Struthio camelus: one gene and its partners. The main gene of each other region encodes a partner of the protein of the gene in region 2 in a complex. Links are inferred from orthologs where the notes say so. Each region holds a gene or a part of one and is shown on either strand. Other genes may lie near its edges. The genes, in order: CC2D2A, TMEM17, B9D2 and TMEM216.

Evidence for each region.
Region 1: TMEM17 (region 2) and CC2D2A share a complex: the UniProt entries of both Homo sapiens proteins name them as parts of the tectonic-like complex. The link is inferred for Struthio camelus from reciprocal best matches to the Homo sapiens genes TMEM17 and CC2D2A.
Region 3: TMEM17 (region 2) and B9D2 share a complex: the UniProt entries of both Homo sapiens proteins name them as parts of the tectonic-like complex. The link is inferred for Struthio camelus from reciprocal best matches to the Homo sapiens genes TMEM17 and B9D2.
Region 4: TMEM17 (region 2) and TMEM216 share a complex: the UniProt entries of both Homo sapiens proteins name them as parts of the tectonic-like complex. The link is inferred for Struthio camelus from reciprocal best matches to the Homo sapiens genes TMEM17 and TMEM216.

The regions. Positions count from the first base shown.
Region 1 is NC_090945.1:70,664,496-70,672,031, forward strand, and holds the start of CC2D2A (coiled-coil and C2 domain-containing protein 2A), read right to left. Parts: upstream 3,007-7,536; 5' UTR 2,931-3,006; intron 1,243-2,930; 5' UTR 1,221-1,242; coding exon 1,182-1,220; intron 667-1,181; exon of another isoform or gene 481-666; coding exon 400-480; intron 291-399; exon of another isoform or gene 117-290; coding exon 20-116; exon of another isoform or gene 3-19; intron 1-2. UniProt on the Homo sapiens protein: Component of the tectonic-like complex, a complex localized at the transition zone of primary cilia and acting as a barrier that prevents diffusion of transmembrane proteins between the cilia and plasma membranes.
Region 2 is NC_090944.1:140,245,703-140,253,460, forward strand, and holds the start of TMEM17 (transmembrane protein 17), read right to left. Parts: upstream 3,010-7,758; 5' UTR 2,919-3,009; coding exon 2,813-2,918; intron 1-2,812. UniProt on the Homo sapiens protein: Transmembrane component of the tectonic-like complex, a complex localized at the transition zone of primary cilia and acting as a barrier that prevents diffusion of transmembrane proteins between the cilia and plasma membranes.
Region 3 is NC_090957.1:703,800-711,547, forward strand, and holds B9D2 (B9 domain-containing protein 2), read right to left. Parts: upstream 2,862-7,748; 5' UTR 2,841-2,861; coding exon 2,603-2,840; intron 1,960-2,602; coding exon 1,834-1,959; intron 937-1,833; coding exon 623-936; 3' UTR 502-622; downstream 1-501. Other genes in the region: EXOSC5 (exosome complex component RRP46), read right to left, coding at 5,792-5,884, 6,579-6,671, 6,759-6,899. UniProt on the Homo sapiens protein: Component of the tectonic-like complex, a complex localized at the transition zone of primary cilia and acting as a barrier that prevents diffusion of transmembrane proteins between the cilia and plasma membranes.
Region 4 is NC_090946.1:3,983,341-3,989,313, forward strand, and holds TMEM216 (transmembrane protein 216), read left to right. Parts: upstream 1-3,825; 5' UTR 3,826-3,845; coding exon 3,846-3,891; intron 3,892-4,044; coding exon 4,045-4,146; intron 4,147-4,257; coding exon 4,258-4,350; intron 4,351-4,614; coding exon 4,615-4,816; intron 4,817-4,985; coding exon 4,986-5,001; 3' UTR 5,002-5,472; downstream 5,473-5,973. Other genes in the region: TMEM138 (transmembrane protein 138), read left to right, coding at 375-502, 600-771, 2,250-2,325, 2,545-2,657. UniProt on the Homo sapiens protein: Part of the tectonic-like complex which is required for tissue-specific ciliogenesis and may regulate ciliary membrane composition.

The DNA of each region.
Region 1 (7,536 bases), on a different chromosome or scaffold from region 2:
CCGTTGGACGGTGACTCACCGCGCGGCGGCGGAGCGGCCGCCATGCTGGCGCGGCTCCCTTCCGGCGGCGGCGGCGGCGGCGGCGAAAGCTCGGGGGCACCGTCAGCTTCCCGCAGCTGCAGTGGGGCAGAGACGGAGCAGGAGAACGCATGAGTAGGATGGGGGTGAGGGGAGCGGGGGAAAGACGGCGAGAGCCGCGACCTGCCGCTGACCCGGCCCCGTGGGGGTCCCCCGAGCCTGCGGCGGAGGGGGCGGGCGGGAGCGCGCGTGCGCCGCGCCCGAGGCCGCTTGCGCATGCGCGGCCGCGTGCGGCGCGCTGAGGGCGGCCCACGGCGGCGGGCCGGCGGCTGCTGGCGCTGCGGAGCCGCCCGTCGCAAATGAACAAATGAACACCCTCACCGGTTTTCTTCTTCGGTGCCTGTGGGCTGTCAAGGTCCGCTTCAGCCTTTCAACCTGGGCAGCGTCCTCATCCAGGAAATCCTTTCAGAGAGAGGGAGTTGTGCTGTGGGCCGCAGACTGGGCCCCTCTCCCGGCCCACAGAAGTCATCTGTTACTCTTATCAAGTGCTGCGATTTAAGCAGTTTTGCCTGTCTGTATTTCACTGATGTCGTTTGCAGGCCCCAGTCCTGAAACTCGTGACACGTGGCTGAAGTTACGCAAATGTGTGGAGGGTAGTAAGGATTAGCAGGGTTAAAGCCGAAGGTCATCTCTAGAGCATTTTTTCATTTCATCTCCTCCTGTCAGCTACCTGTTTGGCCATGACATAACATGCTTCTCTAGGCACAGTTTAAACACAAATGCAGTTGCCCAACTAAAAAAGTAGCTCTACTGATTAGTAACCTCCTGTTCTTATAACGCACTCGAGCTTAAAATACATTTCACTAATAATTTAATCCAGCCAATATGTTACACCAATGTGAAACAATAGCAATGTATATAAAAAGTGTATATTTCACACCATGTGGTTATGATTATAATGTATTTGCCCAGAAATATAATAATTATACAAGCCTCTGTTAATTAGTACTCACTGTACAGAGCTAGGGAACAACAAGAGCATATAAGGTAATTTTAGTAACACTAAAACGTCTTATAGGTCAGTTACGTATGCAAAAAATCCCTGTCACTCTCACTGAGAAATGATGTTAAAACGGTTTTGTCTCAACTAAGGGGACACTAACCTCCATGATTATCATCCGGGATTCTTCACTGCAGTCCATCTATTCAGTAGCTCACACCTGGCTGGCAGAACCAAAACACAGAAACTGTGAGCAGTTATTTTACAGTCAGAGACACTTTACTGTGTGCACACTGATCATTCCATGTGACCTGTGCACCCTGAACACTCAAATGATGTACCATTTAACATGTAGTCTTAATAGTTTAAAAAAATGCTATTTTTTTGAAAACTGAGTAATTCAAAATACATGTGTCAGTTTATTTAATAATTCTATATAACAGTGAATAAAGTGAGCCACTATATGAAGGTCACCTGTTGCATGTTTTTTTATAAATAACCCACCCAGAGTCCATAAAGTCTCCTGACCAGAGAGCAGATTCACAGAAATTCAGATGTCAGAGACATGTTCAATCCCTTTCTTCTCTCTCAGCATTGGGCTTGCTTGACATTTCATGTTTACCAAGTCTGAAATCCATCAAATTACTATGATTTTATATACACCAGGAAGTTGTAGTTGATTACAAACATTCGAAGAATTTTTTAGTTAAATTGGTACAACTCAATTCATTACTACTATTGTTTCAGTTTCTTGTACTGCACTGCATTACCTTTAATCAACAGGGAAGTGCCTTTGGCCTGCACCACCATAGCTGCACTAGTGCAAAATCCAAGTGTTGATTTACTAATCTAAAAATGACTCACAGCAGCATAATTTAGTCTGGATTTCAAAATTCCCATGAAAGGACTCACAGGATTGAGACATATGAGACATGTTTTCATATCTGGCTGAATCTCTCCGTTAGCCAGAGGGCTAACGGAGGCCGACACAGGTCATCCTTGGTTTCTCCATCCTTTTTAGTACTGGGCATGTAAAGGCTCTTTCACTCTTACTTCAAATAATGTTTTCAGGCCAGGCAAGGCTGGTCTTCAAACTCCTCTTTATCTTTTAGGAGGTGCCTAAAAAATGGAGGAGGAGCCAATGGAGGATGTAGGAAGGTGGTAAATAATTGCATTATCTCCTGCCTAAGGATTAGTACTTACCAGCTACTAGGCCCAAAGGATTTTCAGGTTGCCAGACAGCTTCCCTGACTAGCACAGTGAGGAACTTGCCCTGAGCAAGTGTTTTCGTTAGACAGATGTGACTATGTGCCAAACCACCTTTGTATTCATCTCAGTACCAGTTCCCTCTGTAAGTATGTTGCACTAGTGTGAAGAAGGACATGGCTGAAAATTGGAATGTTTCCTTGCTGCGTGCAAGTCTCATCAAATGCCATCCTCGTGGCAGAGAAAATACCGCACTGCAAGAATCTGCAGCATTTTTATTACTCAGCACAGAAGTCTTTTTCATATCAAGCATTTACATAACAGATTTAAACAGTCTTATCTTACAGGCACATGTAAATGGAAAATGCCACAACATAGGTGAAGACCAGTATAGCCACTGTCTTTAACAATTTTCTAGCATTTCTTGAAAGCAAATACTACAGCAGGCATTTAAAAATGTAATAAACAACTGAATGTAAGAACTATAAAGCTCTCTCTCAGCTCAGAGGTTGTTTCTAAAGCACTTAAAACTGAAAACAGAAGTACAGTGAAGTTTCTCTAACTTCTCTTTGAAAAAAAAGATTACTTTGAAAATGTGTGAAAAATAATTTTGAAGATTTTGGATTCTTAAATCGGCCTCATGCATGAAAGCAAGGAAAACACAGTGGTATTTAAAGAGGTCTAAAAGAAAGCATTTGTTTCCTACCTGGGTTTTCTTATGCAGCAGCTCCAGGACTACAGACAACAGCCAGCCACAAACACTCTCAGCCTAGCAACAGGCTGTAAGGAAACCACTGGCCTTCCTTTTTAAAGAGAAAGAGTCAGATTCCCTCCCATAAGCCACTGAAAAAAAAAACCCTGGAAAATGTCTTTTTTATAAACTATTTTTCTAAAGGAAAAGGGAGTGAGAAAGTCATGAATAAAGCATAGGGAAGAGGAAGCGCTTAAAGCTTCTGCAAACATCTACACATTTCAATTACTGCAGTAACTTGGAAAAGAATATGCATTGTATATTTTTGCAGGATCGGAAATGATTATTTCTGACTGAAATACAATAAAAATAGTCACTCTTCCTAACTTTAAGGACCTAGCTCTGCTAAATTATCTGGCTGATTTCTCTATACTTCCTCTGTAACCAGAGGAGAAGCATATGCTATCCATGGGACATGTAAGATTCAAAGCAATTAAGTTATATATTCCTGAATGTAAATTGTTTGCTGAGGAGCATACCTCCCCCTGCTGACTACAGGGTGATAGTAGACCCCTAGTTTAGACTACATGCCAACATTCAGATAAGCAAAATTTACTTGGATGAATTTCAGTCTGAATTTCAACCCTGACATTAATGATGTAAGGATAAATCCTTAAAGTGGACTTTACTTCAAGTAAAGTTACTATCCAGCAGTTTTTCAAGTGCTATCTCTGTTTTCCAATGCATTAAAATATTCAGAAAGAATATTAACCCAAATTGTATCAAGAAGACAGCTGTATCCTATTGTTTACAGACGATCCTAACGGATCAACATAAGTCTCAGCAAACTTCTTAGCCTGTAATTTTTGGGAAAAGTCACAGGAAACATAGCACACTGGAAAAAAAAAAAAGAAGTATAAGCTTTCAGCAGCTGCACTTTGCCAAGACAGGCTTTTTACCACATCAAGACTAAAAAGGTATCTCTAAATGATCTGACTTTGGAGGAGGAAGACCATGAAACCAAAGTAGTAAGTAAGACAAATGATAGGACTTCTTATTTTTAAAGTTTTTACTGTATTATATTACTTCCATAGCAGAATAAAAGAAGGGTATCAAGGTTTCATTCAGATTTCTCTAGAGGCTGCTTAACGGGAAATACAATCCCTGACACCCCTGGCTAGAGAAGCAGTGGAGGGATGGGTTATCTGCTTGTTGAGTGCTCACAACCATCTTACCTAGATACTAGCAGTGGAAGGAGTATCTTAGCAGTTCCAGATAGTTTGTAGAAATGTGGACTTGTATACAATTCCTAACTTTTACAGGTACAAAGTAATTGATACTATTCCTATCAAGTATAGAGAGGGTCTTTTTTGCTGCACTGAATTTGGTGAACAGTAATTTCTTATCTAAACATTTGTATTAATATCTTCCTTATGAACGGAATAAATGTTATTGCTGATACCAAATGGAGCTGTTATTAGACCTGGTTATCCTTGCCCCTTCGTAACATCTGCAGGTCCATTACTGCAAAGTTTTAGTACCTAAAGTGACATGAAAAGAGGTGGCTAAGTTGTTTCCTATTTCTGAGTACTGTTGTTATCAAAAAGGGGTTCATGGGAAGAAGCAAACAGTCACAGTAGAGAAAAGATTGGGTGTAAGCGTTTTTAATTTGCAGAGAGGAACTATCACGGCTAGGAAACACCTTACGTGCCAACAGATTACAAGAAGGGGAGAGGAATGTGATCAGGAGAGCGGTTTGGTGCGGCACATGCACATACGCAGCAGTGAGCCTCCAGTGCCTGCTGAGCTTCACTGTATCACCGTGGAAGTGATCCAGTGGGTGAGCCTTCATATAGGGTTTTGGCAATGAATCACATTAAACATCTTGTTTTGCTAATAAGTCTGCTTCCCAACAATTTATTCTAGTTTCAGAAACAGTTATGCAAACAATTTAAATGATGGACAAATATGAATAGCGTTACATAAGGAACATCACTACACTACCCTGGAGGAGCAGTGGGGGACCTTTGCCTAGCAGGATGGAGAGCTACGTAAAAAACACGTCAGTACAATGGCTGTACTCACAGGAGAAATACAGAATTCAAACCACATACGTTTCCCGGAGCTAGGTTCAACACATTTATTTCAGCCAGTATTATAAAAACAACAGCAAGGCCAATGTCTGATTACCCTGGACAGCAGATGTCGTGCTCTGAATGAGCTGTCTCGACTTTGTTAGGTGTAACACTGTCACTCGCTTAGGCATAAGCTGTTATTTTGCTAATGACAGCCCAGGATGACCTTTGGCACAGGCAGAGCAGACAAACAAACTATGCAACAAACCATGGGGCGAAGCAAAATCATAATGCTGGTCCTCAATAACCAGCAGTTGCAGCTGTGCCGCTAGGCTGGCGGCCGCCACGCTGCCTCTGCCCCGTTCCCACACCTCTTGCTGCAGGGATGGGAGACCCCCGGGGCCAGCTGCCCAAAAAGAGGCAGCCCAGGGAGCGAGGGCTGGAGGCGGGCTGGGCTTCCCCTCCCTCGCCCTCCCTCGCTCGCGGGAGAGCTGTCACACGCTTTGTCCGCGTCCTCGCCCTCTGGGACATGCGGCCACCCTGTCCTGCCTATGGCACAGGGATTGCCGGCCCGATGACCTGAGGGAGAGCAGTTTTAAGATGAATAGCAAGCAACAAAGGATAGAGTTTATTTTCAGTTTGCAAGGATAAAGTAAGGTCAGGAATGCCATGTACAGCTCTTTTATCCTGCAGAATCAAAGCCAAATCCTGTAACAACAAATGGAAACAGAAGCAAAATTCCAATTCTTACGACATCCATACAGCATCTACAAAATATGAGGACATGTTGCTGCATTCTTAGAAGAGCTAGTATATGCAGCTCTAAAATGATCCCAATTTCAGGGAGATAGATAACCAAGGGGGAGCAAATTGTGCTCATCTTGATTTTCTTTAACTGATTGCACCTTGCTCCAACATGATAGAAAATCACAATAAAATGCCCTCAGATTTGTCAGAGAAGAAAAAGAAATCACTGCTCATTACCAGAACATCTGACAGAATATAGGTGACTACAGGTGGTGCTGGAGAGGAGCAAAGCTGCCGCTTGGACATCAGCATCAGTGGCAGACTAGTTTTTCCGATGATTAAAGAGACTGTTTTTCAACTCAAAGTTTTAAATCCTTTCCACCGTACGCTGCGGAAAGTGCTAGTGGGTGCCATTAGCTCTGTGGGTGCTAAAAAGTCACAAAGTACGTTATTCTTTATACACTTTACTCAGTTCTAGAAATCTTACCTACTCTTGCCAAGAGGTCACTTCTGGAGCATTCTGAACATGATTCTGAACTCATTTATCCCTTTTTCAAGAATTCAAAGGTTTTGTTCCTTTGTTAACACTACATTAACAAGGTGATTTTTGTGAATATTTTGTATTGTGTCTAGGATTCTGACAGGTGCTTTAAATTTGAAAAGAAACAAATTTGTCATTTCCTTGGTGTATGCAGAAACATTCTAGGATATATTTAGGTTTCCTACACCTCAAATTAAGTCTCCTTTGAAAGTCAGGTATTTTCTATATACTTGAATGTGTTGAATTTGGCGACATGAAAAGATTATCTAGCCCGCCTTAATAAACTGTAATAATATTCTGGAGGATAGCCAAGTTAATGCAATTGAAGGTGTCCCAGGAGGAACTTGAGCAGTACTTGACAGGTGCTGTGACAAGAGGTCCCTTGCATCTTTGTAAGGGTGATTCCGTGTTCTGCTGGTCAATCCAAGCTTTCTTTTTAGTTATAAGGCGTGTAATTTGCCATACTAAATTAAGCCACTTTTCCCACTTAGCAGGTTGCTCTCCAAGAGCAGAAATCTTATTTAACTTTTGCCATCTCAAAGTTAAATTCTAACCTAAGCTAGTCAATTTGGTGTCCCTCACTATTAATGCAAGAAGGCAGGTACCTCCAGATTTTTTGTCTTAAAGTAGTTCTCTAGTATAGTTGTCCGTATCTTTGCAGTGATGACAGGAGAGCTAACAACTGGCTTAACCTACGCACTGATCTTTTAGAGACTGCAGTCAGATGAACTTCATGCTAATATTTGCTGCTTCAGGAACAATCTACATCTAGGAAAAAGTTTCCTTCCAGCCCCCATCAGGTAGAGGCTGGACCATACCAAAGTAATTATACTCAGAATTGAGGGTTATAAGCCATATACCAAATAGTTCAAAATACCTTTTTTTGTAACGTATGTACTACTAAACTGTAGGTATTATCGTCAATATCAATGTATAATTGGTGTACTTAATTTTTCTTTTGCTTTAGGTAATAACTCTCATGAGTTGGTACGATGTATAAAAAAGGCAAAATCAAGTATCAGACACTGAGAACTTCCTTAAAGTACACAGAATTTTTTCATGCCCGTATGAGGAAGAATTGTGCCTCTGATATGTCAGAAACACTGATATAGCCCCAGCTGGCAATGTTGACTTAAGTGAATACACTGAAATGAATATTACCTCTCAGCGTTCTGTAAGCTGAAGTCTAAATAGTTTATACCGAAACAAATAAAATGCTTCTTCAAAAATATATTTACTCCTTGAGAAAGATATACCA
Region 2 (7,758 bases):
TATTAAGAATGGCATTTTCAGAGACCCAGAGGAAAAACTCTGCCCTATTTTGGGTTACACCATTTCCCAGGATCTAATGTAACTTTCAGTTCACAGGATATAGAATTTTGATCCCTTAGTTATAAATTCAAATCAAGTGTTTGACTGTGGAGTAAATCATAAGCCACCAGCTAATCAACAGTCTCTGAACTAAATTGATAGGCTTTGTTCAAGTAGTAGTGTATCCTGACATTGTAGAAATAGTAAGTGCCAATTTTATTTTTGTTCTCTAAGAAAATGTCCCAAGTTTAAATGAATACACTTATGGCTTATTCTCGTTTTGTATCTGACCCTCCTGGGTACAGACTTGCTGCTAGAGAGCAGGTTTGCAATGCCCACTCTCCATTTTGAATCTTTATTTAAGATAGACATTTGAATACACAGTGACACTGCAAGATGACAGTAATTCTTTTACTTCTTTGGAGCTAACAGTTCGTCATACGTATCAAACTCAAACTTATTTCCGTCTCTCCAGACTTTAAAGGATAAGTTGACACAATGCAAAGAAAAAAATATTGAACTGCATAACACTAGGCAGGCTGTAAATTCTAAAATTAGGACTTAGCCATAGATTTAGAAGATTAAACTCAAACAAAGAAAAACTTACCAGGGCATCCCAAGAGAATTGTTTGTTTTTAATGGACTAAGTTTTATTGCCACAGTCTAGTTAACCGATGTCGCATGCAATTTACTTCAATTACCAACAGTCTCTTTTCTCACGTTTTCCCTAAATGCAGTTTGCAGACAAATCTTCACTTGGTACTACCTGAGCAAGTTTAGAAAGATTTCATTGTGAGCTGCTGCTCTGGACCTGCTGTTTTGTATCTAAGTCCCGTGCCCCAGCGTGCCACCATGGTGATATTCAATTGAAACTCAGATTATCAGCCATGTTTTGTTCACCTTTGACTTCAGAACCACCTCTCTTCTGATAATGCCATCTCTTGTCATATCTTCCAACCATTCTCATACCTGTCTTTGTTCCATCTCAGTCTGTCATCCCTGTTCCCCGTTCCACCACATGCAGCCTGGTACAGTCTGTTCCAGAAGTCTTTATGCCAGTTGCAGAAGTGTTCATGGTAGCTACTGGGCTAGGTGGGAAGGGAGGAGGATTTGGGGACAGAACTGGGACAAACCTTAAGGGTAGGGTTTGATGGGCGAGGATTTGCTATACTGAAACAGAAGGTGCAAGACAACCAATATTTTTAATAATCCCATTTTTAAATATCAACACTCTCCTACATCTGCATGGAATGAAAATCTATAGGTACCTCAAAGCAGTTTTACTGTCTACCTAAATTTGTCCGAGGAACTGTCAGCTGTTCTAATGAATGAATCCCTAAATACCAGATCTAGGGTACTAACCATGGATTGTAGAGGCACTGAGATGCAATTCTAAAACACTGTTTTATCTTTCAAAAAATCAGACTATCTAATTATAACCAACTGTGTTTCTGTCCCATTAGATGAAAATGTAATGTTATTCAAAAAAAGCCAGTGAGAATGTTTTGGGTACTTTTAGGTCTTAGTGACAAGGCATGCATACTGGTAACTTCTTCTCAAGTTTTAAGACTGTGTTTTGGATGAATGTTTAGCAATATAAGCCAAGTCTAATTCATCTTTCTACACCTAAATCGAACTACTGTTTACTTTTTGGGATTGTAAAAATATGTGGAAATGCCAGACAGTAACCCAGTGGCCCCTTGGCACCAGGGCAACTCACTAAAGTATGTATGTGTAGACTTAAGATTCAAAAACAGGACCTCAAAGAGGTTAATGGTCTATTTACCATTGGTTTCAATGGGCTGGACATTCATGTAGGAGTTTTCAAGAAAGAAAAGGTAAAATAAATGATTAAAATAAGAAGCTATTCCTGGAGTTAAGAAAAGCGTCTCAGTGGTGCTTGGTAGCTGTAATTAGGAATTGATCTGGCTAAACGAGGAAGTGCTAGCACTATAGATAGACCGGTCTAACGACACAAACAAAATGGGTTCTCTTGAAATAATAATAGCTTTTTGCTTTATTTTATCATCCTGCAGGTTTCACTAGCAAGGTGACGAAGCTATCGGTCCTTATTGGTAAGAGCTGCAAGAAGAAGGTTGAAGGTCTGGGTTTTTGCTTGGTTCGTCTCCTTCTGCTCTGAGCGTCCGGTGGGTGTCCTAACTCTGCGTAGGACTATTGGGCTTAAAACAATAGCTCCCGTCTTTTATTTGTTCTCAAGGTTCTCTATAAAATCATTACTACGTTTTAATTTCGTATAGGTGGAGTGTACAGTGTGTAGTATTGGTGTCTTTTATCGGTCATATTTTATGCCGACTCGCTTATTGAGCTGTAAAGGTGGGTGCAGAGGGTCGTGCGGAGCTGCTTTTAAATCAGACTGTTGCGCATTTAATATTTTAAGTGCCCGGGAAGCCAGTCTTAACCCTGCGCCACTGAAGCACGTTAAGTGCAGGGGGAAAGATTACGGCCGCTGTTGTTTTACTCCAGAAAACACCCATTAAGTTACACTACATCATCGACAGCGAAACCAGAGACCACGTAGAGACCGCCAGGCCCGCGCCGGCCCTCCCTCAGGAGAGCGGAGACACCGCGTAACGGCCGTGGGCGCGCGGCCCCGCCCCAACGGCCTCTAGGCGTCGGCTGGTGCCGCCATCTTTATTCCTGGCAAGCCCCTCCCCTCCCCCGCGCGCCTCGGCACCGTTCCCTCGGCGGGCGCTGTCCCCCGCCGCCATGTCTGTCGCTGGCACGACGCCCGGCCAGCCGCCACCGCCCTTACCTGCGCTGTTGCCCGGGGACTGCGGGCCGCTGCGGCGGCTGCTGTCGATAAAGACAGTGCGGCTAAAGGAGCCGAGCCGCCTCCTCAGGGGCTCGGGCAGCGACATGCTGCGGCGCCGCGGCCCGCCGTTACTGTGGCGACGGGGCGGCGCGCAGGCGCAGTGGGGCCGGCGGCGCGTCCGTTGGCCGCCTCAGGACGGCGCTCGGCGGGGGGAGGCGCTGGCGTGTGGGTGGATATGTTTTTTCTAGTTTGTTTGGGCACGGCTCGTTATTATTATTATTAATTTGTTTTTTTTTTTTTAAATCACGGTTACAAAAGGTTGTTTCAGCAGGCGGTTGCTTCCCTCCTGAGCAGGGCTGTTTTCCATCTCTATGAGGGTAAATTCAGGGGATCCGTAGTGTTCAGTGATAACTAGGGAGGGAGAAGTGGAGTAAGGGTGGACATTGTTGGAGCTATTTAATTCCTCAGAGTGGGTATTGTTTTGAGTGGCTATCATACAGCGTTGGTTTTATGATAGATCGAGGTAAAACTCAGCTAGAAAATATCCTTTCCTCGAAGAAACCTGTTTGTGGCACAGCTGAGTTAAAAGTAGTGGTGATATCAGCAGAGCCTTTTAATTCCAGTTAGCTTTTATGCCTTATAGGAAGTCTTCCTGGGCAGTAAGAAAAGCTCTTGTTTTATTTTGAACGTATAGGTACTTTGTGCCTGAACCCTAATAATGCTGTAATCTGTCACCAGGATTTTTCAGAACACTTAGGGCCTGGCTCCTTCTGAGGAGAAAGGATGCGTTTTGTAAGCCTGGAGGAAATTATGTTCTGCCTGACCAGAACAAAAGAGCAACTTGTGCCCTTTCCTACGAGGGCTGATAACTTTTGAACTTTTGTGATTTTTATGTACCTAATGTGACGTGGCGACTCCCTTCCCTTCTCCTTCCAAAAATCATATTTAGCTACTTCCCTGGGTGCTCATTCTCTAGTATGACTTTCCAAGCTCAATTATCTCTGACTAAATAATTTAAAGCCTAGTTTAAATTTAATTTTGCCCTATTCCACTGGGAGAACCCCAGAGACAGATGAAAAACATGAGTTCTGAGAAATACGTTTGGTTTAGTGCTGATGAATGATGTAGTATTCACAACAGATACTTTTCAAAGAGCTTCCCCAAACAGATGTATGCCAGCAGGGACCTACATAAAAAACTTGGGTCCTTCAGAAGAGGTGAAGTGATTTTTAAATAATTGCCGCAGGTTGGAGGGGAGAAGGGTCTCGAGGAATCCAGAATTCTGGAAGGATCCCAGAATTTCAAGGGATGCTGTGCATGTCCCCTAACAGGCAAGGAAGGCAGCAGGCTTTGCTGTGGAAGTACTCCTAGAAAATGAAGCTTAAAAGGTAGGTGATGCTACAGATAAGACAAAACAGAAGCTTAATCCTGTGCAATGCTGTATGCAGTTTCTGTTGAATCCTACAGAAAGGGATGCAAAACTTAAAACAGGTCCTGGGCACAAGAAGGCAGATATGCTATTAAATGTAAGATATTCCTTACAAAATAACAAAAGAAAAAAGATAATGTAGCTCTGTCTGTACAGCACTGACCACAGCTCAGCAAGGCTGCCTGGACTAGCCTTGAGCTAGCTAGCTCAGGTTTGCTGCTAGGACAGCTCTGCAGGGAAATAATCTAGCAAAGGCAAAATGAGTATTTGTCCAGCTCCTTTGACCTGACTGTATCTGACTTTGAGCTCTGTCTTATTGTAGGCATACTGACAATGGTGCCTGAGTGAGCTGGCCTATTTGATGGAGTAGACATACCAACAGTCTTGTGTCCCAGCCAGACATGGACCCCAAAGCTCAGAGCTGTGAAGGCACTGGAGGTATACCATAGTTTCAATGACTAAAATCTGTGCCTGTGTGCCTGCTAATTAGCTGACTACCAAGTACAGTACTAGAAGGGTTTAAAGCTCTCTTTAACATTTACGGCAACGTGGAAAAAAAGTGTTAGGTAGGTTGCTGAACGTTTAAGAAATGCAATCTGTATTTGTTATTTTGCCAGTTGCCAGTAGGTGCTAGAAACAGGTTTCCTACCAGACTCAACAAATGATTTTTGAGTGCTTTTTGCATCATCTTGCACCTCTTGCTGTAAAGTTGTGCTATAGACAGTGGCAAGATGATGAATCCGTGCAAGATTTCTAATCAAGTTGCCTGAAACCCTGTTTTATTGTTGTTGCCTTGGTCCTAATCTATTTCACACCCTTCCGATTAGGGGTGCACTATTCCCATATTCTCAGTTAATTACACCCAAGGAACAGGTGTATATGAATTAAAAGCGTGGTTGGGTTTTGATTAAGGAAGATCTTCATGGAAGTTGCAGGGTTTTTCATAGTATAAGCTGGTGGCCTGTTAAAGTTCAGCCTTTAAGGATTTTCCTCTTGATTACTTTTTCAGAATGGAAGGAGGAATTTTTCCTAGAATGCACAGTGTTGTTCCTTTCCTGTTGCCAGTGGCTTTGAGCAGGGGCCCTGATCTCCCAAACTGATTTTCTTACGTTCCCCCATTCTGAAAACCTATGAAGCATACAGTCGGGTGTCCTGTGAGCAGCTCTATGGCAGTCAATGGAACTTGGTAAAATTGGGCTCTGCACTTTCAAAACTGTGAAGCAATCCAGCTTAACAGTCAGTGAAGTGTGAAACTGAGTAGCAGGTAAAGGAAAGGCTGATGGAATGCAGATACCACAAGAAATGCCTGGATTTGCCATGTGAACTCAATTTCCAAACTCAAGGTGTGAATCTGTGATATTTGGCAGCCTCACGTTTATAGCAGATGGCCGAGCATTCCACACGTCCCCGCAAAATAAAATTGTGCACATTTTTATTTCGTGTTTTGGTGTCCGCTCAGACGCTTAAAATACTCCCTGAAGACGGAATATGCTTTTTGTTTTGCTAATCCTGCTTAATTTTCTTCAGGCTGAGTCGTGCATTTATTGTCAATGTAATGAACAGAATTCCTCTGATTTTTTTTTTTAGGGTTTTTTAGGGAGCAGTTTCAAGCAGAAAATAATCTGAAACCCTTTAAGTATCAGAACACCAGGGTATCTGCATTGATAAATCAAAGCTTCATATAACAGAAGCTTATAAATATATGCTATAAGGGGTGACAGAAAGAAAAACGCTTAGCCGTGTGTGACTATAACAGTTATGATGGCCATCTGTATAAATAGTGTAAGTATCCAAGTTTTATAATAAAGTTGTATATTGGCTTTTTATTTTTTAACGGAAAGGCATTCCGTTACTGAATTCCTTTGTGTCTATCCACCTATGAGTGCTTAAGGTAGAAATAGACAGATTTCCAGTTCTCCAGGCTTCAAAATAAGCTACTGAAATGAGAAACTGGAGGAAATAAACCCATAGTTGTGCAGCATATTAAGTGACTGTTTTATTTCTCTCGGCACATGCTAACTATAAATAAAACAAAAGTCACTGAAAATCTGCCTGAAAGCTTTAAATCAGAGGAATATTGGATCTTTGTGTATCCACAGTAGTCCAACTAAGTTGGTAGACACTGGCTTGGCTCCCAGACCGAAGCTCCTGGGGCTCTCTGGCAACAGCACTAAGCCATAAACACCAGATGCAGTATATCTAACGAAATTAAATATCAGCAGTTTTTTACAGCTGGCATTTCAGAAACACAGAGTTCATTTAAATGGTGCCAATGGTTTATCTTTCCACCTGAATCGCAATTGCTGTATTTCTGAATGTGCTGGTTTGGAATCTCACAAATGTTGTTTTCCCTGGCATGCCTGCGCTACTGCCCCTTAGATAGCTATAAGCATGCAAGCAACAGAAATCATTCTTCCCTTTGCTTGCCCTTTAATACCTGCCCAGTGTTTTAATAGAAATCCTGTAAAACATGTAAAAAGTGCTGGTGAACAGAGGTATGCACAGACAAGCAGAGTATAGGCTTGTTTTCTCCTTCTGTTCTCAGAAAGAAGTGACAGATTGGGAATTTTAACAAATTACAAATGCCATGAGGACTCTCTGTGTTTGAAAGGATCACGTTATTAGCTGTGACAGTGTCTGCCAGAGCAATTTCACAGCTGTGCGCCTGGCTTGCGGTACCCTAGGACAATCTTTTCTCCATGTCACTTGAATGCTACTCCCTGGTGTTCGTTTAACACCTAGAGGATTTTTGTGTCTGGTAAACAATTATTGCTGCTGATGAGACCTATTGGAGGCCCCTATTTCAAGCATTATATATAGCTGCAGTCCTTCCATGCATTAAATATATCTTGGCTATTTTAGTCTTAAGCATAAAGACAGTAGGGAAAAAAAAGCTATTACTTGCTCCCATGAATTGATTTTCTTCTTGCTGTACTTGGCATTTAGTTAAAACCGTTTCCTAGCTTGTTTTGTTTTGGCGATTTTTAGTTTTATAAAGCACGTTGGGAAACTCAAAGCTGGTGCTGCTGTTAAACCAGTTTTACTGTTTGTTTTGCAGAAGTACTAAAGGACTATATGGTACAGAAGGAGGTACTGTAAATGGATGAATTTTGAGCCATATTCTCACTTACACAAACGTCTGTTGTCATTGACGTGCCACTGAAAGCTTTTCTGTGTGACCCGACTGGTGCAGAGAGGCCCCTTCTTTTCCAAAGGTGGCTCTGGAATAGCCAGCAAAGGCCATGTTATAACGCTGTCAGTCAGACTGACATGTGAAATTCAGGTTTCATTTTTCTGATCATAAGCTTTGTCAGCAAACGGATGCTCACTCTGCTTCCAGACTTTACGGGAGATAAATTCTGCCCCATTCACACCTGCAAGTCTTGGCACGACTGGGCTTTCTGTGCCTCTCCTCTCCCAAGTGCCAGAATTCAGGCTTCAGACTTAATCTTTCAGGAGGTGCAGAGCAAGGTGGTGGGGGCTGTCGGTAATTCTCAGCAAAGCAGGTTTCATTCGA
Region 3 (7,748 bases), on a different chromosome or scaffold from region 2:
GGCGCAGCGGGGCCCAGGCGTCCGGGCACGGGGGCCCAGGCGTCTGGGCGCGGGGGCCCAGGCGTGCGGGCGCAGCGGGGCCCAGGCATCCGGGCGCAGCGGGGCCCAGGCGTCTGGGTGCAGCGGGGCCCAGGCGTGCGCGCGCAGCGGGGCCCAGGCGTCTGGGCGCAGCGGGGCCCAGGCGTCCGGGCGCGGGGGCCCAGGCGTGCGGGCGCAGCGGGGCCCAGGCGTCCGGGCGCGGGGGCCCAGGCCTCCAGGCGCGGGGGCCCAGGCGTGCAGGCGCAGCGGGGCCCAGGCGTGCGGGCGCAGCGGGGCCCAGGCGTGCGGGCGCGGGGGCCCAGGCGTCCGGGTGCAGCGGGGCCCAGGTGTCCGGGCGCGGGGGCCCAGGCGTGCGGGCGCAGCGGGGCCCAGGTGTCCGGGCGCGGGGGCCCAGGCGTGCGGGCGCAGCGGGGCCCAGGCGTGCGGGCGCGGGGGCCCAGGCGTGCGGGCGCAGCGGGGGCCCAGGCGTGCGGGCGCAGCGGGGGCCCAGGCGTGCGGGCGCAGCGGGGCCCAGGCGTCCGGGCGCAGCGGGGCCCAGGCGTGCGGGCGCAGCGGGGCCCAGGCGTCCGGGCGCAGCGGGGCCCTAGCTCTGGACGCCGTAGCGGGCGAAGTGGCGCAGCAGCACGGCCAGCTGGAGGTGGACGGTGCCGGCGGCCTCGGTGCGCAGGCGGAAGCGCTCGGCGGCGCCCAGCACCAGGTCGGGGCCGCGCAGCTGGGCGCCCCCCCCCAGGAGGCGGCGGGCCAGGCGCTGGCGGGGGCCCCCGCGCGGGCGCCACGTGCCGCAGGCCAGGCCGTGCCAGCCGGCCCGCGCCGGCACCGCGCAGAAGCCGTAGCCGGCCAGGGCGGCGCGCCCGAAGGCGTCGCGGTGCCAAACCTGCAGGTGCAGCCGGGGCCACCCTGGCGCGGGGGGGGGGGGTGTCACCCGCACCGCCGCCGTCAGCCCGGGGGCCGCGCGTGCACGGGGGGACGCGCGTGTGCACGGGGGGACACGCCTGTGCACGGGGGATCATGCATGGGGGGACACGGATGTGCACGGGGGGACGTGCGTGTGCACGGGGGGACACGGGTGTGCACGGGAGGACACGCCTGTGCATGGGGGGATCACGCGTGTGCACGGGGGGATCATGCACATGTGCACGGGGGGACACGGATGTGCACGGGGGGACACGCCTGTGCACGGGGGATCATGCATGGGGGGACATGCCTGAGCACGGGGGGACACGCGTGTGCACGGGGGGATCATGCACATGTGCACGGGAGGACACACGTGTGCACGGGGGGACACGCCTGTGCACGGGGGATCATGCATGGGGGGACACGGATGTGCACGGGGGGACGCGTGTGTGCACAGGGGGACACGCATGCGCACGGGAGGACACGCCTGTGCACGGGGGGATCACGCGTGTGCACGGGGGGATCATGCACATGTGCACGGGGGGACACGCCTGTGCACGGGGGATCATGCATGGGGGGACACGGATGTGCACGGGGGGACGCGTGTGTGCACAGGGGGACACGCGTGTGCACGGGAGGACACGCCTGTGCACGGGGGGATCACGCGTGTGCACGGGGGGACGCGCATGTGCACGGGGGATCATGCATGGGGGGACACACGTGTGCATGGGGGGACACGCCTGAGCACGGGGGACACGCGTGTGCACGGGGGGATCATGCACATGTGCACGGGGGGACGCGCGTGTGCACGGGGGGACACGCGTGTGCATGGGGATTGTGCACGGGGGATCACGTGTGTGCACGGGGGGTCACGCGCGTGCACGGGGGGCGCGGGGGCACCTTGCAGGCCGCGGGTGGCGAAGTGCAGGTCGATGGGGTGGCTCCAGTAGGCGGCGGCGCCCGGCTGCGGCTCGTCCAGCTGCGTCTGGCCCTGGCGGCGGCCGGCCAGCAGCCGCCACGCGCCGCCTGCGGCACGCCGGCCCGCCTCGCACACGCGCGTGCACCCTCCCGCCCGCCTCGCACACGCGTGTGCACCCGCCCGCCTCCGCCTGCGGCACGCCGGCCCGCCTCGCACACGCGCGTGCGCCCTCCCGCCCGCCTCGCACACGCGCGTGCACCCGCCCGCCTCCGCCTGCGGCACGCCGGCCCGCCTCGCACACGCGCGTGCACCCTCCCGCCCGCCTCGCACACGCGTGTGCGCCCTCCCGCCTCCACCTGCGGCACGCCGGCCCGCCTCGCACACGCGCATGCGCCCTCCCGCCCGCCTCGCACACGCGTGTGCGCCCTCCCGCCCGCCTCGCACACGCGTGTGCGCCCTCCCGCCCGCGCGCGCCCCCCTCTGCCCACGTGTGCCCGCTCCTGCACACACGTGTGCCCGCTCCCGCACACGGCTGCGTGCTGCTGCCAGCCTCTGCATGCTCCCACACGCGCGTGCCCGCCTCTGCCCGCGTGTGCACGCTCCCACCCGCATCTGTGCACTGCCACACGCGTGTGCACGCAGGCCCGGTACATGTGCATGCTCCCACACGCGTGTACGGGGCAGCCTCCGTGTACGTGCATGCTCCCAGCCGCGTGTGCACGCTCCGACACGCGTGTGCGCCTGCCCTACCGGCGTGGACGCCCCACTTGCAGAAGAGGCCGCCGTCGGCGAAGCCGCTGGCCCCCACGATCTGCCCGATGACGTGCACCTCCGCCATGGCCGCCCCGGGCGCCGCTGCACACGCGGTCCTGCCGCACACACAGCGCCCTCGTGCGCGCACAACCCCGGTGCACACCCACCACCCTCGTGCATGCACAACCGCGGTGCACACCCACCACCCTCGTGCACACCCACCACCCTCGTGCATGCACAACCGCGGTGCACACCCACCACCCTCGTGCACACCCACCACCCTCGTGCGCGCACAACCCCGGTGCACACCCACCACCCTCGTGCATGCACAACCGCGGTGCACACCCACCACCCTCGTGCACAACCACCACCCTCGTGCATGCACAACCCTCGTGCACGCACAACCCCGGTGCACACCCACCACCCTCGTGCACAACCACCACCCTCGTGCATGCACAACCCTCGTGCACGCACAACCCCGGTGCACACCCACCACCCTCGTGCACAACCACCACCCTCGTGCACGCACAACCCCGGTGCACAACCACCACCCTCGTGCACACCCACCACCCTCGTGCACGCACAACCCCGGTGCACACCCACCACCCTCGTGCACAACCACAACCCTCGTGCACGCACAACCCCGGTGCACAACCACCACCCTCGTGCACACCCACCACCCTCGTGCACGCACAACCGCGGTGCACACCCACCACCCCGGTGCACGCCCAGCCCAGGTGTTCGCACCCCCCGCCCCCCCTTGCACACTCGTGTGCAACCCCCCGCCCCGCGCATGCGCGCTGCGCCCCCACCCACCGCCGCCCCGGGGGCTCCTCGCGCCGCCGCCGCCGCCGCGCGCTCCCCGCCGCCGCTCACACGCACTTCCGGCTGCTGTTGCCACGGCAACGCCGCCAGCCTGCGCAACGCCGGCGCCTGATTGGCCGCGGCAGGAGGGGAGGGGGCGTGGCCAGCCCCGCCCTGGCTGGCGGCGGGCAGAGCGCGGCTCCACCCCCCGCCGCCATCTTGGGAAGGTCGCGCCGCCTCCGCCGGTCCCCGAGCGGGGCCATCTCGGCCCGCAGGAGCGCGAAGGACCGGACCGGCCTCCCGGTGCCGGGTGCCGCGGCCCGGGGAGGCGGCTGCCGGCGCCACCTTGGCAGCGGCAGAGCCCTGGGGGAATGGGGGCCGCCAACTTGGGGCGAGAGGGAATAAGGAGGCGGCCATCTCGGTAGTGGCGCAGGGCGGGGCCGCCATGTTTGCGCCTGTACGGCGGAGGGCGCCGCCATCTTGGCGCTGCCGCGCTGTGGGGGCCGCCATCTTGGGGGCCTGGTTGGACGTGGCCCGACGTGGGTCAACATGGCTCGACATGGGTCAACATGGCCTGACACGGGTCAGCATGGCTCAACGTGGCCTGACACAGCTTGACATGGGTCAACATGGCTCGACATGGCCTGACACGGCTTGACATGGGTCAACATGGTTCAGCATAGCCTGACACGGCTTGACATGGGTCCACGTGGCTCGACATGGCCTGACACGGCTTGACATGGGTCCATGTGGCTCGACATGGCCTGACACGGCTTGACATGGGTCAACATGGCTCGACATGGCCTGACACGGCTTGACATGGGTCAACATGGTTCAGCATAGCCTGACACAGCTTGACATGGGTCAACACGGTTCAGCATAGCCTCACGCGGCTTGACATGGGTCAACATGGCTCAGCATAGCCTGACACGGCTTGACGTGGGTCAACATGGCTCGACATGGCCTGACACGGCTTGACATGGGTCAACACGGTTCAGCATAGCCTCACGCGGCTTGACATGGGTCAACATGGCTCAGCATAGACTGACACGGCTTGACGTGGGTCCACATGGCTCGACCTGGCCTGACACGGCTTGACATGGGTCAACACGGTTCAGCATAGCCTCACGCGGCTTGACATGGGTCAACATGGTTCAGCATAGACTGACACGGCTTGACGTGGGTCCACATGGCTCGACATGGCCTGACACAGCTTGACATGGGTCAACATGGCTCGACATGGCCTGACACGGCTTGACATGGGTCAACACGGTTCAGCATAGCCTCACGCGGCTTGACATGGGTCAACATGGCTCAGCATAGACTGACACGGCTTGACGTGGGTCAACATGGCTCGACATGGCCTGACACGGCTTGACATGGGTCAACACTGTTCAGCATAGCCTCACGCGGCTTGACATGGGTCAACATGGCTCAGCATAGACTGACACGGCTTGACGTGGGTCCACATGGCTCGACATGGCCTGACACAGCTTGACATGGGTCAACATGGCTCGACATGGCCTGACACAGCTTGACATGGGTCAACATGGCTCGACATGGCCTGACGCAGCTTGACATGGGTCAACATGGCTCGACATGGCCTGACATGGCTTGACATGGGTCAACATGGCTCAACATGGCCTGATATGGCCTGATGCAGCTCGACATGGGTCAACGTGGCCCAATATGGCTTGACATGGCTCAGCATAGCCTGACACGGCTTGACACGGGTCAGCATGGCCTGATACGGCCTGACGCAACTCAACATGGGTCAACGTGGCCCGACATGGCCCCTGACCCTGCCCAAGCGCACCCACATGTCCCTGCAGGCACAGACACGCGTGTCTCCAAGCGTGTCCCCACACGTGCCCCGCACACCCCCCATAGCCACGTGTCCCCACACGTGTCCTGCGTGCAGGGTCCCACTGTCCCCTGCCCAGGCTCCTGAAATGGGGCACCCCACATACCCGGAACCCCCTCAGCCCCCCACATTGGGGGCACCCCACGCCCAGAGCCCCCCCCACATTGGGAGCACCCCACACCCGGGCTCCCCCACCTTCCCCTCCCGGGAGGTGACACGAGCTCGCCCGGCCTCAGCCGAGGACCCCAACGCACCCGCTCTGCCTGGGGAGGGGGGCACAGCTGGGGGCCAAGGTGGCAGCAATTAGGCCCCTAATTACCCCCTGGTAATTACCCCGGGTGGGGGGGGGGGCTGCACGCAGGGCTGGAGGGGGGACGGGGCTCGGCCCCCCCAGGGCGGCGGCAGTGAGAGGCGGCAGCAGGTCGGGGCGGCCTGTTTAATGCCCCCGACGGCGGAGGGGGGTGCGGGGGGGAGTCCGGATGGGTGCGGGGGGGTCGGGGGCCCCGGCGTCCGGCGCGTCACCACTTGGAGTACTTGCGGCGCAGGCAGTCGCGGTAGAACTGGAAGATGGCGGCGGCGGCGCGCTGGGCGGCGGCGAGGCTCTGCTGCAGCTGCGGAGGGGGCGCGGGGCGTGGGGGGCCGCCCCACGGCGGGGGGGGGGGCACGGGGGGGCCACCTCACCCATGGGGGGGGCTGCCCCATGGTGGCGGGGGGCACAGGGGGGCCACCCCATGGTGGGGGGGGCACGGGGGGGCCACCTCACCCGCAGGGGGGGAACAGGACATGGGGGGGGGGCTTCCCCACGGCGGGGGGGGGTGGAACATGGGGGCTGCCCCATGGTGGGAGGGGGGGACAGGGGCCACCCGACGGGGGGGGGGTTCCTCATGGGGGGGGGGGCAGGACACAGGGGGCCGCCCCATGGCGGGAGGGGGAACGGGACGGGGGGGGGGCTGCCCCACGGCATGGGGGGGGGGAACATGACGCAGATGGCCGCCCAATGGTGGTGGGGGGGAACGGGACATGGTGGGGGGCTGCCCCATGGCATGGGGGGGGGAACGGGACATGGGGGGGGCTGCCCCACAGCATTGGGGGGGGCTGCCCCACAGCATGGGGGGGGGACACGGGGGGGGGGCCGCCCCCCGGGGCAGGACGGGGGTCACAACCCCCAGTGCGTGTGTGTTTTGGGGGGGGGGGGGAACCGACAGGCCGGGAACCCGCAGGAAACCCCTCGCTGCCCGGAGCGACCCAAACCCGCGGCGATTCGCCCCGAAAGCCGGGACGGGGGGGGGGGGGGGGGGCGCTGACCTCCTGGGGGGAGCAGGCGCCCTTGGTGGTGGCGGCGGCCAGGAGGCGGCCGTCGGGGCTGGCGATGGCGAAGGTGAGCACGGCGCGGGCCTCCTGCGGGGCGAGGGGCAGCGGGGCTGAGCCGGGGGGGGGGACCGCGGCCCCCCGGGGTGGGGGGGGACGGGGGGGGGACCCGCTCACCCGCTCCTGGCGCGCCGTGGGGTCGAGGACGAGGCGGCCGTCGGGCCGCAGGGCGCAGGCGACGCCGCAGAAGAGCGAGGCCAGCGGCAGCCCCGCGTCCAGCAGCCCCAGGCAGGCGGCGTTCAGGCAGCAGGCCAGCAGCTGCGCCCCGCGTCAAGGCGCCCCCGGCCCCCTCCGGCCCCCGCGCGCCCCCCGAAACCCCCCCCAAGCCCCCAATTCCCCCTAACCCCCCCAAACCCACATCCAGCCTCTCAAACCCCCCGAAATCCCCTCAAACCCCCCGAAATCCCCAAGCCCCCAATTCCCCCTAACCCCCCCAAACCCACATCCAGCCCCTCAAACCCCCCAAAATCCTCCCCAAGCCCCCAATTCCCCCTAACCCCCCCAAACCCACATCCAGCCCCTCAAACCCCCCGAAATCCCCCCCAAGCCCCCAATTCCCCCTAACGCCCCCCAAACCCCCATCCAGCCCCTCAAACCCCCCGAAACCCCCCCCAAGCCCCCAATTCCCCCTAACGCCCCCCAAACCCCCATCCAGCCCCTCAAACCCCCCGAAATCCCAACCCCTAAATCCCCCTAACGTCCCCCAAACCCCCCAAAGTCCCCCCAAACCCCCAATTCCCCCTAACGCCCCCCCAAACCCACATCCAGCCCCTCAAACCCCCCAAAATCCCAACCCCCCCAAATCCCCCTAAAGACCCCCAAACCCCCCGAAATCCCCCCAAGCCCCCAATTCCCCCTAGCGTTCCCCAAACGCCCCTCTATCCCCCAAACCCTCTAAATCCCTCCCCCAAAACCCCCATTCTCCCCCCAAAACCCCCAATCCCCCCAACCCCTCTCAATCCCCCCATTCTCTCCTAAACCCCCTCGAACCTCCCACTCTCCCCCCCAACCCAATTCCCTCCCCAAAATCCCCAAATCCCCCAACAATGCCCCAAACCCCCCTCTATCCCCCCACCTCCCCACTCCCTTCCTGACGTGCCCAACGCC
Region 4 (5,973 bases), on a different chromosome or scaffold from region 2:
CTGCAGGCCTCGCTGCTTGGGGTAGAGAACTGGCAGTCTCATTGCTACATATGTGCAACATAAGAGGAGCCAGGCAGGTTGTTCCCTGAGCTGGGCCTGGCTGCAGAAGCACAGAAACCAGCAGGCTCCTTTTTGGATTTACTCTGGATTTTCTCACTGTGGGGATCAGGAAGAGTTGGATTCTGTGTCAGTTGTGGCGTTTGTGTCTGGCCCTGCTGAGCTATACCCTCTGCTCCCCTTCCAGGCCCCAGGTGCTGGCTGTAGGGAAAGGCTGTGGTACGAGAGGTGACGCTGAGCCCCTCGGCTCCAGAGCATGAGCTGGCCTTGTCACTTGGGATGCCGGGGCTGAGGGCTTGTGCCCCTGGGAAAGGAAGATGCTCCAGACCAGTAATTACAGCCTGGTGCTGTTCCTGCAGTTTCTGCTGCTTTTCTACGACCTGTTTGTCAACTCCTTCTCTGAGCTGCTCCGCACAGCTCCTGCTGTCCAACTTGTCCTCTTCATGTGAGTGCCAGGCAGACCTAGAGGTGTGAGCGGGGGACAGGAGGGCTGGGGTCTCCCGTACCACAAGGGTGCTTACAACCTCTCTCTCCTCCTGCAGTATCCAGGACATTGCCATCCTCTTCAACGTCATCATCATCTTTCTCATGTTCTTCAACACCTTCGTCTTCCAGGCCGGTCTGGTCAACCTCCTCTTTCACAAGTTCAAGGGGACCATCCTCCTGTCAGCGGCCTACCTGGCACTCAGCATCTCTTTCCATGTCTGGGTCATGGTAGGCTGAGAGGGGTCCTGGGCTGCCAACTTTCCCCAGAGGACATGCAGACAGGGCACTGGTCCCCTTGCTTTGCTGGCCACAACCCCTGGCTCCCCTCAGCCCCTCTCCCACATGCTGGGCATCAGTGGAGGGCCAGAATCTCCCCCTGCACCTTTTGTCCTGCACAGTTTGGAAACAGCTGCTCCCCCGGGGGATTTGGGGAAGACTTAGCCTGCCTGTGTGAGCAGCTTTTCAGTAGGTGGGTGAGTGTGTCCAGGAAAGCTCTCTGCTCCCAAGAGGGCAGTGAAGGCAGGAGCAGTGGGGAATTTAGCTGTAGAGATGGGAGAGGTCTTCTCTCAGCCTCTGGCATGACTCCCCCTCCTCACTGCTCCTTGTCCCCCTGCAATTGCGCATGTGCCCCGGCCACGGTTTTTGGGCTTGTAGGCTGCAGCAGTGACGCAGCAGATGTTCCTGGGCCGTGCTCAGCCCAGGAGGCAAAGAGAGGTCATTTGAGAGGCAGGCACTGAGCTATGAGAAGCAGGGACTGGCCTCACAGTCTGCTCAGTACTTGCCCTGACTGGAAGGGAGCTGCCACATCCCAGCCCCCTCCCTGGTTGACCTGCTGGACAATCCTCTTTCCCCATGGAAAGCCCCCTGGCTCTGGCGCTGCGCTGGCACACACTGCTCTGGGTAATCCCCAGCCTGAAGGCCGTGACAGCAGCACCTTGTATTACCTGGGATTAATCTCCAGCAAATGCCAGCGCTCAGAGGCTGGCTGCAGCCCCCCATCCGCTGGCATCAGACAGCTCAGCAAGCTGTAAGGGTTCCCTGCTCATCTGAGAAGCATCTTTCCCTTCTGTCCCTGGCCTTAGCGCTCCCTTGTCCTCTGCCCCAGGCACCAGACCCCAAAAGTAGCAACCCACAACCCCACCTGGCCCCTGAGTACCCCCCTGCGTAGCCCCAGCTATTCTGGGCGTGGGGCAGGGACAGTGCCCCAGCTCCGAGGGTGCCACCCCCACCCCGCTACCAGAGCGCTATGGTGCCGAGGATAGTAAGCGCTCAAGGGGTGGGAGCTGCCCGAGTGTGCAGCCGGGCTTGCGCTGCCCACACACCACCCGGGCAGGGGATTGACAGGGATTTCCTGGGATCTGAAGTCTGAAGCTAGAATAGGTCCTGGCTCGCTGTCTAAATCCCTTGAGCTGCTTAACCTTTGGGGTAGGGCGCTGCTCCCGGCTGCACGCTGTCTCTCGGAGTCAGCCACCGTGCCCACGGGTTCTTGCCCAGGCAGAGAAGGATCTCGTTCTCCCCTGGTGGGGAGAGCCTCAAGGCAGCCACGGTCCGTAGGGTGCAGGGACAGCCTTCTCCTGCTGGCGTTCCCAGGGCACCGTGCTGGGGGAGCTAAAGGTGCAGGGTGCTGAACTCTCCCCGTCCCCAAGCAGTAATGCAAGGGTTATTTCTTGGCCCTGACGCCCCACACATTTGTCTGTCTGCCTCAGAACCTGCGGTGGAGAGAATCCAGCCGTTTCGTGTGGACCGAAGGCCTGCAGACGCTTTTTGTCTTCCAGAGATTGGGTAAGGGCTCACCTTCTCAGGGTGCTGCCTGCCTCACTGGCCATGCTGGGACAGCCCACAGCAGCCCTGGCATCCATGTCAGGGTGGTTGTGGGGGTCCTGTACCATCAGCGGAGGCCCCTGGACCGCCTCTGGGAGCGTGTGTGACGTAACTCCTCAGGGAGGGAGGTGGGGGTGGATGTTCCTGCCCGCCTGGCCCTCACCTCCCTCTCTCCACCAGCGGCTGTGCTTTACTGCTACTTCTACAAGAGAACCGCGGTGCACCTGGGCGACCCCCTCTTCTATCAGGACTCGCTGTGGCTGCGCAAGGAGTTTGCTCAGCTCCGTGGCTGACAGCTCTGCTCAGGCTTTCGGCTGCCTGTTGCCTCATCTCAGCATGCGCAGGCAGCTCCCGGGGTGAGCAGCGCCCTTGCACGCAGGATCAGCGTTTGCCCATGCCAGCTCTCCTGGGGTTCCTTCCATTCCTCCTCGTCTGTGGGCCCAGCCGCTGCCTTGCCAGGGATGGAGCCAAGAGGCCAGAGGGCTTGTCCAGGCCCTATGACTCCAGTCCAGACACATTCCTCCTCTTCCTTCTCTTCCTCCTTCTGGGGACCCATCCTTCCACCTGCTCCAGTGTGGCTCATGCTCCGGCAGCAGCAGGAGCTGCAGGATGCACGCTGCGGGCCCAGCCGTGCAGCAGGAGGGCTCTATCCCGGCATTACATCCCCTGCTGGGACTTAGTTTTTGTAAATTATAAAGAAATAAATTGGCTGTGTTTTCCAGCGGCTGTCGTGTGTCTGTGTGCTGCGGGCACCCCCAGGCCGCTCCTGCTCTTTTCTTGGACTGCGATGCCGTGTTGACAGCAAGCTTCCTTGAGTGACTGTTCTGGAGAGAACTGAACCAATAATGTTATTTACTCATTAGCAGGCCCTAGCTAGCTAGGCAGTGTGTTTTCAGTCACAAAACTGGGACTGTTTTCACCTTGCATCACCTCTCAGTGTCATGCAGGCCACTGGTCCCAACTGGGGATGCTCAGACTGAGGTAGAAGCAGTGGGGGCTCTGGGTGGCATGGGTTTATCCCCGAGCTGCGTTGGGCAGAGGGAGGAGGATCGTTCATGCAGTGCATAGGTGAGAGCTGGTGAGATGTGAAAGAGGGGGAGCGGAAGAGCAGGTTCCCCGTGTCCCGGTTGGGGACAAGGGCTGCAGGACATACGAGAAGGGCAGTGGCTCTGGGTGGCCAGGGGGAACATGGGAGCCAGCAGCTCACCCGTGAAAGCACAGTTTCCCTGCCAGTCTTTGGACTTCGGTAGGAAGCGCTTGAACAGAGGGAGCGCTGGAGCGGGGCCGCGGCTCCTGGTTCTCTGCCGCGAGCAGCCGCCGGCGCCGCGGCGAGCCCGCCGGGCCGGGGCCGCGAACCGGCGTCTCGGAGGTCCCCCAGTCCTCCCCGGCCATAGAGGGGGCGGCGAGAGCGGCCTGGCGCATGCCCCTCCGAGCGCTCCCGGGAGTGAGGGCGGCTGTGGCGGTCTCCATGGAGATGGAAGATGGCGCCCAGGAGTGAGTGCGGGGCCGGGCTGGGCCCGGGCGCCGGTGGGTGCGGCGGGAGCCGGGGACAGCGGGGCTGGGGGAGGCGGGAGGCGGCGGCGGGAGCCGGGGGCAGCGGGGCTGGGGGAGCCGGGGGGCGGCGAGAGCCGGGGGCAGCGGGCCGGGCCGCCCCCGCCGACGGCCGGCGTCTGCTCGCAGGCCGGCAGCGCTCCTCGGTGCCGCTGCAGATCCTGCTCTTCCTCAACGGCTGGTACTGCGCCACTTACTTCCTCCTGGAGGCCTTCATCTTCGTCTACAAGGGTGAGCCCGGCCCCCTCCCCGCCCCCCCGGCCCCCCCCTCCGTCCCCGAGGGCGGTGGCGGCCCACCCGCGGCCGTGCCAGCCCTGAGGGCGGCGGTGGCTGTGCCCGCAGTGCTGCTGTTGCCCTACCCCTCCGCCAACCTGGCGCTGGATGTGGTCATGCTCTTCCTCTACCTGGGCACTGAGGTCACCCGCATCTTCTTTGGTAAGTCCTGGGGTAAGCAGGCGGTGGGGGCCTGGCATGGGCGGCTGGGGCGCTCCAGCCTTGCACACCTCCAGGGCCCAAGCCCACGGTGGCTGGTGTTTGCTCAGGACCCCAGCAGGAAGTGCTGGGGCTGCAGCAGAACCATTTGCTGTGTCCCCCACGGCGGGGTCCTGGCCACAGATGAGCATGGACCCCGCTGGGAGCCTCAGTACCCTTGTGCTGCATGAGGTAGAGGTGAGGCCACAGTAACGTTGCGCTGTGCAGGCTCAAAGGGCAACCTGTGCCAGCGGAAGGTGCCGCTCTCCATCAGCTTGGCCCTGACCTTCCCGGCGGCCACGATGGCGGCCTACTACCTGCTGCTCCAGACCTACGCCCTGCGCCTGGAAGCCATCCTCAACGCCATCCTCCTGGTCTTCTATGCTGCAGAGCTGCTGCTGGGCATCCTCACGCTGGCCTCCTTCTCCAGGTAGTGCTGCAGCTGGAAGCCTGGCCACGTGGTGCAAGGAAGGAAATAACCTGCCCCCCAGCCCGGCACGGTGGGAACCAGGCAGGGCGAGCTGTGGGGTGCAGCCCCCGCCCTAGCCTGGGGGCCTGCTGCTGCCTGCTGACCCAGCCCCATCTCCCCTTCTCTGCAGCACGGATTCGTACTGAGGGCCAGCGCAACACGGTACGATGCCATTCCCGAGCGGCACAGGTACAAGGGACGGCAGGAAGCCCGCAGCCATGCTGACAGCTCCGTCGTCCAGCCCACACCCTACCCCCAGCTGGCCGTGGTGGGAGGGACAGAGATGTGCTGCCGGGCTGGCCCCGCTCCGGCGCGGTCGGGGCGCTGGGCCGAGCGCACGTTGGCGTCGGCGGGTGTCTGTGGCTCAGCCTGTGCCAACGGGCAGCTGCGGGGCAGGGCAGCCTCCACCCTGCGCGTTCCCCTCTACTCTGCCTGCAACACGTGCAAGTAACTCGCTGGGCAGCACCCGCCCTGCTGCCGTCTGGGACTCCAGCTCCACGTAGCAGGATCCGGACCCCTGGGCTTGTGACACGCAGGTCAGTTGGAGATACGGAGAATTACTTTTTCTACTGCAACCTCAGAATAATTTACTATTTTCCAATAAATATTTATTTTTACCTGGTGCCTGGGCATGTAGCTTCCCCCAGGGCTGTTTGGAGCCAGCGCAGGGGGCAGAGGGGCTGCACTTGCCTGCGTGGCCACATGCCGGCAGAACCAGTGCAGGAAGCCCTCACGCATGTTAGAGGTCAGGTACCGGTGGAGGCCAGGTACCGCTCTGCCTGCCCTTCTGGTAGCCCCAGCGCATCTGCCTCCGTCGCTGGCACCGGCAGCTCCAAGAGCCCTGCTCCGCTCTCGCCACTTGCCAGGAAGCAGCAGTATGAGTCATTCTGGTCCTCAGCTGCACAAATAAGCCAGGCCTGGGGAAGGCTGTGCCAGGGCCTGCATTAGCAGGGAGCTGTGCTCACCCCCGCCCCCCCCAAAAATCTCTGAGCCTGCCACCAGCACCCACCTGTGTGCACAGAGCACCCGAGGGAGTCTCCCAAGCTGCCCTTCCCTCCCCTGCAGCCTTGCACTGCACAGGGTCCATAAAACACCCCCTCTATTATTAGAACTTGTTA